2 linked regions of the Arabidopsis thaliana genome follow. The protein of the gene in region 2 interacts with the protein of the main gene of each other region in a pairwise test. Each region holds a gene or a part of one and is shown on either strand. Other genes may lie near its edges. The genes, in order: AT4G37180 and CZF1.

Region 1 (4,435 bases), on a different chromosome or scaffold from region 2:
TTTTGTAATGAAAAACAGAGACAGACAAAACCCAGAATCCATTGTTAAAAGAATCGGAGCAGAGAGTTCAACAGGAGGTTTTGCTTCTCTAACCTGGAAATTCCAAAAGTGAGAGCCAACAAAGTTTGCGAATTCTCCAACTTGAATCGTCACAATTTCTCTCATGGTTGTTTGATTGGAGACTTGAAAGAAACTAAGCAAAAGGTCGGTTCTTAGCTCACAGCGTAAGAGACTAAGAGCTCCGGTGATTGCTTAAACCCTCGTCGAGCCTAGATTTGTAAAAGAGTTTGAGAATGTTGATGAAGACGGAGAGGCGGCCCCGTGAGGCCCAGAGACCACAAAACCACATAAATTGACTCGAAATAACCGGGTGAATAAACCGGTTGGGTTTAGAAACTGAATCGACCGAACCAATTTGAACAAATATTCCATTGCCGCTTAAATGTCTTTAGTATATACACTCATTAATTGTGAAAAGCAGAGAGTAACTATTTGAATTTTTGAATAAAAATAACAAATTTGAAGAAAATTATGTCAAAAGATAAATATCTACCCTATACTATTGGCTAATGTATGTTACATGGTGCAAGAAGCTTTATCCACAAAACATGCAAATCTCGTGGAAGTAAACTATTCATCAAATCACTAATCAGTGAGTAGATTTTTTCTATATACATTGTCAATTCCTTCAATAGTGAAAATAAATCTTGTCGTTTTTCAGACGAAAAATCTTATCTTTTCGTACGATTTTATGCAATAAAAGATTCTTATTTTTTTTCCCCTTACTTATTCTCTCAGATTACGTAGATTTGTAGAAAACGATGAGTTACAGAAAGAGACAAAGATTGTGATGTTTCTTCATCCTCTGTTTTCGAAGGTAAAAGGTAATTAGTATGACGAGCTGGTAAAACTAAACAAATGACTCCTTCATTCACATGGTTGAGACTGTAATAAGTATAAAAACAAAATCTTTGATATATGAGTTTATCTTACTTATGAAGTAAAAAAAAAAAAAAAAAAAAAACACAGAGGATTTCGAACACTCTTCTCTATCTATTTCCTCTTGCAAAAACAAACCCTACTTTTTGCTCAAAATCCTCTTCCTTATTTCAACTCTCATGTTTACATCTACAAAAACTCCCGAACAAACTCAAAGTTTTGAGCATATATAACATAAGTTGGTAAAGATTATATCATTCACTATGCAGACTTTCAAAGCTCAAGATCCAACACTTGTCTCTTCTTCTTTGTTTCATCATTTCTACAGCTACTACGTCCATCAGACTTCTCCTCCTCTTCATCCTCCTCCTCCTCATCTTCCTCTGAGCTATGACCAACATTACTACTGAACAACCCTCTTGCAACAAGTGGGCTTTGTGGCGAATCCGACCTCGACAAACTTATTAAGCTCTGCGATTCTCTCTCTAACACACCTGGCTGATCCGACGATGACAAAGTCTTTGTCGGATGCAGCGGATGCTTACGGATATGCATTCTATATTTCTGCAATAACAATTTCATTTCACCGCACTGTCAAAATCATTCATTCATCCACACATCAAAGTTTAAGTTACTGTAAAAGATGAGAACTTTTACTTGTAAATGGCTCTTGACTTCATCATTGGTTAAACCATCAACTTTCATCAAATCTCTAATCTGCTTTGGTGTAGCAACTGTCTCACAACAACAACAACAACAACAACAACAACAATACAAAACAATCTCAGTATAATCAATCAATCAAATCTAAAGCAAAGTTTGATCCTTTACTAAGGTTAAGGACTAACCTTGTGGCCCTCCAAGCCTATGAAGAGCATCAACAAATTTACGGTGAAGTTCCTGTGACCATCTCCTTCTCTGCTCTTTCTTCTGAATGTGATGACTCTGTGAAGAAGGTTTATTGAATTGATGATGATGATGACTCTGCTCAATTCTGCTATAATCCATCATCATCTCTGATGTTGGAGTCATGAGAGACAGAGGAGCTGGTGGTGGAGGAGGTGGGGGACGGTTAAATGGCATAAATACCCCTCCTTGATTAGGGTAATTACATGTCTGAAATGGGTTCTGACTCACACACCGATCTTCTTCTTCTTCATTTGTCTGTCAAAACATGATCATAAGGTCAACAAGATCAATCACACAACATATGATTCTTCACAAAACATAAAAAGGGTTGCTTTTTGATCGTACCGATCGGAATTGGGAATTAGGGTTCGAGATCCATAACTGGGCAGAGCTCATCCAGCTCTTCTTATCAGTTTCCGGTTTTGCCCTTTCAACATCATCGAATTTCCCATTAGATGCCATCAGTGATAACCCTTTTCTAGCCTCATCCTTCAACGCCCCAATCGCTACACAGAGAAAAACAATCTCTTTAAACAAAAACACGAATCGATTAGAGAAGATAAAAAAAAGAAAAGGAGAGAATTTTAATAAAAGATACCTTCGTTCAATAAGAGCATGCATAAAGGGAGTTCTCGTTTAAAAACATCGATTTTGTTCCTTTCTTCCTCTAATTTTCCGACATAACCATCGATTTCAGACAGTTTGGAATGATTGTCTTTGATCCTCGACACTTCATCGAGAAATTGAGATAAGGGTTTTGGTAAAGAGTAGATAGACAAATTCAGATTAAGACCCATCCTTTGATCGGTTTCTGTTTGAACCATCGGACAAGATAAAGACAAAGAGAAGCAAGCTTAAAGAGGTATATATAGAAGAAGATGATGAAGATGCTGAAGAAGATAAATGAGAACAAAAAAAAAATGAGATTAGGGAAGAAGAAGAAGGACGCGGTGAACCGTAGCCGCTGTAAATAAGTGGAGACTTGAGGGTGTTTTTGTCAATATTAAAATTAGATTTATCTTTAAATGGAAGAAAGAATCTTTTTGTGATGCCCGTACACACGCGGCGAATCGTTACACTCACTTATATATATTTATTCTTCTCTTTTTTTATATTTTTCTTTAAGGATTTTTTTCCTTTTAATTCGGCTATTAATTATATTACAATTTTCAGTTTTGGGAAACTTGTTATTTATTTTGTTTTTAGTGCTCTTCTCATTCAAGATTCTCATATTCCTGTTATCCTGTATTTAATATTTTCCCAAATTAGTCTTAAAAAGAGGATTCTGAAGAATCTATAATATTTTACAAACACTATTTTCTGCATATGGAGTGGTTCAGGCTGTGAAATATCCCACTAAAATATTTATTAAAGATAATATAAAAAGAATCTGTTGAAAGACTAAAAATAAAATAAAGCAACTCAATTATTGGATAAAAAATTAAAAATAAGGAATTAACAAAATCAAACTATAACTAAGAAAGATCAAATTTATTTGTACAAAATTAACAATTTTCTACTTTTTTAAAGAAAAATCAAATTTTATTTTCCTACTTTAACAATTAAAAGTAGATAAGTTACACTTTTTTGGAGTAAAAAATTACGTTTGAAATAAAGAAGATTTAGACTACAACAAATATTGACTTTTTATAACCTAAATGTTATGAGCTTGAAAGTTATACATTTATAGTCAACATGATATGAGATTAAATGTTGAATATAAAAAAGGTATGTACCACATAGTACATGTAGCACATCGTCAGAAATAACTTTGCTAGACCAACAATACCGAATGGGCATAACCGTGTATGGCCTATGGGCTATGGATTCATGTATTTGTTATTGTATCTCAAACACAGAGCTATACTGAAATCTCGGTTTCATGGAATTCGAACCACTCGTTTAAAAACCGATAAAACATTCAAACTATACAATCGGGTTTAATTAAACGATGTTCTTAGATAGGCAAAACCACATGTACGTTTATGCAAGTAGTACGATACATAAATTCGTACTTCAGTTTGTACTACTATCATATAACTAGACTAAATTAGTAGAGCCGTATAAATAATTAATCTTTACTAGTATAGGACATATTCGCTTTAGTTTATCTTTTCGAATAGAAAAATTATACTAAATTTTGCTAAATTTTACTAAAAAATTATACTAAACATTTTACCCGGAAAAAAATTATACTAAATTTTGCTAACACAAGCTACTAGCTGTATTAGAAATCGACACATACGTATGTGATTTTAAAAGAGTGAAGTGGTCAAAAGATCTCTTTGTCTTTTCTTTATTTTTACCACACGCAACGTCCATTTACATTCACGGTGAGCATTAGTTTCAAGAAATCACGTAACCTTTGTGTTTATAAGTGCCCTTTTCATGGTTTAGTTGGTTTTGGTTATCGTATTATGAATATTTTTGTTCATTTCAGTGTTGATATTCTTTTCAAGAAACTAGGTTGATCATTCTTATGTAGCACCATTATTTCTTGCAAATTATTCCACTACTCATCCATTTTTTTTACTAATCAAAACTTATATCGTTCAAAAGGTGAATTATACTTAATATTATTATATGA
Region 2 (5,200 bases):
TAGCAAATTTGTGACTACGAAAACTCCACGGAAGATATATAGAAGAATCGAAGAAAAGTAGAGAATAATGAGGAGTAAGTCAAATGATCAAATCCACGGACTAATCCATTATGTTTGATGTGACGAGAGAAAAATAAGTGAATATTTAATACTATATACTATAGTATATTTTTGCAAAAGTTAAAGGTGTTGCATTAATTTTTTGATAGCAAACAATTAAGGAAATGGGGGAAAAAGTGTAAGCGGGCGGCCAAGTGAAGACATTCTCTGTCGCCCACCCAAACACCAAAGAAGAGAAGGCGTGCCTCACTTTCCCTCTTTCTCCACGCACTTCTCCTTGCCCGTGTTTCTCACTCGCTTTACCCTAATCACTCCATTACAACTATACCTACAAGACCATTAAGATAAGCTTATCAATAAGAACACTGAGATAAAGTTGATCTCTATTTACGAATTGTTTACTACCAATAGATTTTGATTCGTACCAATCTTTTAAAGTATGTATGTATTGTTTGAATAGTAGTTCTACCGAACCAAAAATATTTTAATTGATCATGTAAAATATATTTAAGATTGTTGTGTGTTAATTATAGTGATCTTTAGAAAAAAGAGTAGCCAACGTGATAATGAAAGCGCGTGTTAAGAGTATTGAAACACTCACACGCTTGTGGAGGTTACCTGCTAAGTCGGTCGATTTGATCGATGGTGGGTCTTTTACACATCCCCAACGTCATTTACCATTTATTCAACCTCATATATTATGTTCTTGATGATGAAAAAGAACATAATATTTTTTTTTTTTTTTTTTTTTAATTTTTTTTTGATGATGATGAAAAAAAAAAATATTATGTTCTTTTTTAATTTCTTTTTAATATTTTTGACAGTAATTTTATTTTAATCTTATTTTGTTACAAATAGTTTTTAATACCTTAGGACCTGTTGGAACTTGGAAAAAAACAATATTTTTTAATATCTCAGGATCTTTGCCCATACATGTTTTGGGCACCCATGCGTTTATATGAAAAACAGCATGCAGATGTAAAATATAAACAACTGTAGATTTGGTCAGATGTTAAAATTTAAATTATGTCTTTTGAAATGTGACCTATAATTGTCCAGATAGATATACATAACTATTTAGTAATTGTAAGTCTATTTCCTGTAATGTATTCAGCTAAATGCATGTAGATAATCTGATATCACATACATCTATAGCCATATAGAGAATGCATAGTAACATCAACAACATATAAATTTTGGGCTATTTTCTAATGAGGGTTTTTGAGTATAAATGGATCTCCTAAAACGAGTTTACCGGATGGGTAAGGTAGTAGTTCCCTTTGAGTTTTCTTTCTGCTTTGTATAATTAAAACAAAGTAATTGATTAGGAACTTAGTAGGTCCTAAAGAGAACCAACAATGGTTTCGGTTATAAATAAACCAAATGGGTACATTATCCTTATATCTAGAAACTTTAACCAAAAACAAGATGTTATCTAGAAACAATAAATACATCCGGAATGAGACTTTTTCTTATGTAAGTCGATACAATGGGGGCATTGTTTTATTTCCCTTCAAATGAACTTTGCTTTTTGATCATTTTAAAAAGCCATATTGAAAAAATCAATGAGATAGGAAGATAGATATTATAATATTCTTTTTATAAAAAAGACAAAAAAAATACACTAAAACAATTGAATAAGAGTCAGCAAAACAACGACGTCCTTACCTTTTTTAAAAGTTTCCCAGTTTTGACTTTTGACCTAAACCATTTCCATGTAGAAAGAGAGCAAAAAACAAAACAAAACAAAGATAAGTAAAAAATAAAAATGATATAAAGAAGGAAGAAGAAGACCGAGAAAGGTAGACGAAAGAAAGAGCGTACCTTCCTCTTTCCTTCTTCGTAAAAACCAAGTTCCTTTTAAAAGGAGCCTCTCCTTTCTCATTTGATCCTTCTTCAAAAACCCCAACCACTTCTTCTCCCCAAAAACCTCCAAAGTTTCAATCTTTACTTCTCTCTTTTTCTCCAAGTTATCTTCTTTTCTAGGTATGTCTTGATTCTTTCTCTCTCTGTTTTTTCCTATTTCATTCAGGATTCTGGGTTTGGTTAAATCTTTAATCTTTATGGTTTTAATGGCTTGATTTTGACGAAACGGTCGTGTAATTATTCATTACTTTGCTTAAATTGGGGATTGATTTTGTGTATAAAGAAGAATCTTGAAAATGAAAAATTGAAACTTTGAATCGAAAGAACTCAATTTGCGTTGCTCTTTCTCATTCTTTGTTGCTTTCTCCTAAAAGTTTTTCACTTTTGAATCACAGGAAGAGATATGTGCGGTGCAAAGAGCAACCTTTGCTCATCTAAAACCCTAACAGAAGTCGAATTCATGAGGCAGAAATCAGAAGACGGAGCTTCCGCCACGTGTCTCCTCGAATTCGCCGCCTGTGATGATCTTTCATCGTTTAAGAGAGAGATCGAAGAGAATCCATCGGTGGAGATTGATGAGTCAGGGTTTTGGTATTGCAGACGGGTCGGGTCTAAGAAGATGGGTTTTGAAGAAAGAACACCACTTATGGTTGCTGCTATGTATGGAAGCATGGAAGTGTTGAATTACATAATTGCCACAGGAAGATCCGATGTGAACAGAGTTTGCAGTGACGAGAAAGTCACTGCTCTTCACTGTGCAGTTTCTGGCTGTTCTGTTTCTATCGTTGAGATCATCAAGATCTTGCTTGATGCTTCTGCTTCACCTAATTGTGTTGACGCTAATGGGAACAAACCGGTTGATTTGTTGGCTAAAGATTCTCGGTTTGTTCCTAACCAGAGTAGAAAGGCGGTTGAGGTTTTACTGACCGGGATTCATGGTTCGGTTATGGAAGAAGAGGAGGAGGAACTGAAGAGTGTTGTGACTAAGTATCCAGCTGATGCATCACTTCCTGATATTAACGAAGGTGTTTATGGAACTGATGATTTTAGGATGTTTAGCTTTAAGGTTAAGCCATGTTCTAGGGCTTATTCACATGATTGGACTGAATGTCCTTTTGTTCATCCTGGTGAGAATGCAAGGAGGAGAGATCCTAGGAAGTATCCTTACACTTGTGTGCCTTGTCCCGAGTTTCGTAAAGGGTCTTGTCCTAAAGGAGATTCGTGTGAGTACGCGCACGGTGTTTTCGAGTCTTGGCTTCACCCGGCGCAGTATAGGACACGGCTTTGCAAAGATGAGACTGGTTGTGCTAGGAGAGTTTGTTTCTTTGCTCATAGACGGGATGAGTTAAGACCGGTTAATGCTTCTACTGGTTCTGCAATGGTTTCACCAAGGTCGTCTAATCAGTCTCCTGAGATGTCTGTTATGTCTCCTTTGACGCTGGGATCATCGCCAATGAACTCTCCTATGGCTAATGGTGTTCCTTTGTCTCCAAGAAATGGTGGTTTATGGCAGAACAGAGTTAATAGCCTTACACCACCACCGTTGCAGCTTAATGGTAGCAGATTGAAGTCGACTTTGAGTGCTAGAGATATGGATATGGAGATGGAACTTAGGTTTCGCGGTTTGGATAACCGGAGACTTGGTGATCTCAAGCCATCCAACCTCGAAGAGACTTTCGGATCATATGACTCAGCTTCTGTGATGCAACTTCAATCACCAAGCAGGCATTCTCAGATGAACCACTATCCGTCTTCACCTGTGAGGCAGCCTCCTCCTCATGGATTCGAATCTTCAGCAGCCATGGCAGCTGCAGTGATGAATGCAAGATCCTCAGCGTTTGCGAAACGCAGCTTGAGTTTCAAACCAGCTCCAGTAGCTTCTAATGTCTCCGATTGGGGATCACCAAATGGGAAGCTTGAGTGGGGAATGCAAAGAGATGAGCTGAACAAGTTGAGGAGAAGTGCCTCCTTCGGCATTCATGGAAACAACAACAACAGTGTGTCACGCCCTGCTAGAGACTACAGTGACGAGCCAGATGTGTCGTGGGTGAACTCACTGGTGAAAGAGAATGCACCAGAGAGAGTGAATGAGAGGGTTGGGAATACGGTGAATGGTGCAGCGAGTAGAGACAAGTTTAAGCTGCCGTCGTGGGCAGAGCAAATGTATATAGACCATGAGCAGCAGATTGTGGCATAAGAAGCAGAAAGAAAGATGTGGGATTTATATTGCTTTTGTCTTCTGGGCCTCTCTACACAGAATCTAACAAATCTGGCAATAATTCTTTGATTTGTGTTTGACCCATAGTTTGGTTACTAGTATATGTTTTTTTATGTTCTTTTTTTCTTTGTCATTCTCTTGTCCTTCGTGACACTATGTAATGATTAAAAGCAAATAATTGATGCATGAGTTCAAATGTTCTTTGAAGGATCCATCTTATTAGCTTTGTAATTGTTGTGATATCTTAATCTTATTGGTTACGTATTTCAAGTGCTTTAGAAAAAATGGGCCTAAGAGATTTTGGGGAGCTTTTTTGGCTTGTTATTTTCCTCACATATACAACTTGCAGCTTATTATTTATTGAAAATCTTTTCTTATCTAGATTCAAAAAGATTTCCACAAATTTTAATTAACGACCCCTGATTACAAAGAAACCTACCCAAAGTCAAATTTTGTCCATAATTTCTATCGTGTAGGACACTAAAAAGTAAAAACTCATACCTAATTGGTTTCTAGTAGAAACGGTCAGTGCACTATCTTTCTTTCAGGTTATCGAAGGAAAAAAGATCAGTAGAGTAGCATCGTTAATAGTAGAGTTAAGAAAAGCATGTAACATGTGGTCTACTTTTTATTTCACAGAAAAATACCATACCATGTGATAATGTCGCATAAAATCTTTACTTTTCCGGTGTTATCGATGTGTGTTAATGCTAAATACCCGAAACAATTTCAAGACTCAATTTTGAACTATCGAATAGAATTCTTCTAAAATGGATGAGGAAAAAGTCGCTGGTTTAAGTCGTGCGACCCTCAAAATAAAGTTAGGAATATAATCACAAGCTGCATACTTTCATTAATCAATTTAAAAAGAAACGACTAACTTTATTCTTTCTTTGCCAAACTCCATAATTAGTTAAGTCTATGAATGAATGTGAAGAGAGAGTTTTACATTTAAAATTGTAAAGGGCAAATTATAGAAAATTCTGTGTCCACCAATTAGGCTTGGCTCTTTAACTCACTGTTCTCAATCTTTAATAATCCCCATCTTCTTTTCTC

The links.
Region 1: the proteins of CZF1 (region 2) and AT4G37180 interact in binary tests that used the Arabidopsis thaliana proteins (3 or more experiments, as listed by UniProt).

Annotation. Positions count from the first base shown.
Region 1 is NC_003075.7:17,502,885-17,507,319, reverse strand, and holds AT4G37180 (Homeodomain-like superfamily protein), read right to left. Parts: upstream 2,757-4,435; 5' UTR 2,673-2,756; coding exon 2,447-2,672; intron 2,376-2,446; coding exon 2,194-2,375; intron 2,104-2,193; coding exon 1,788-2,103; intron 1,674-1,787; coding exon 1,597-1,673; coding exon of another isoform or gene 1,540-1,596; exon of another isoform or gene 1,504-1,539; coding exon 1,213-1,503; 3' UTR 816-1,212; downstream 1-815. Other genes in the region: AT4G37190 (plasma membrane, autoregulation-binding site, misato segment II, myosin-like, tubulin/FtsZ protein), read right to left, coding at 94-165.
Region 2 is NC_003071.7:16,770,208-16,775,407, forward strand, and holds CZF1 (zinc finger (CCCH-type) family protein), read left to right. Parts: upstream 1-1,789; 5' UTR 1,790-2,046; intron 2,047-2,321; 5' UTR 2,322-2,329; coding exon 2,330-4,123; 3' UTR 4,124-4,527; downstream 4,528-5,200. UniProt on the Arabidopsis thaliana protein: Involved in salt stress response. May positively modulate plant tolerance to salt stress.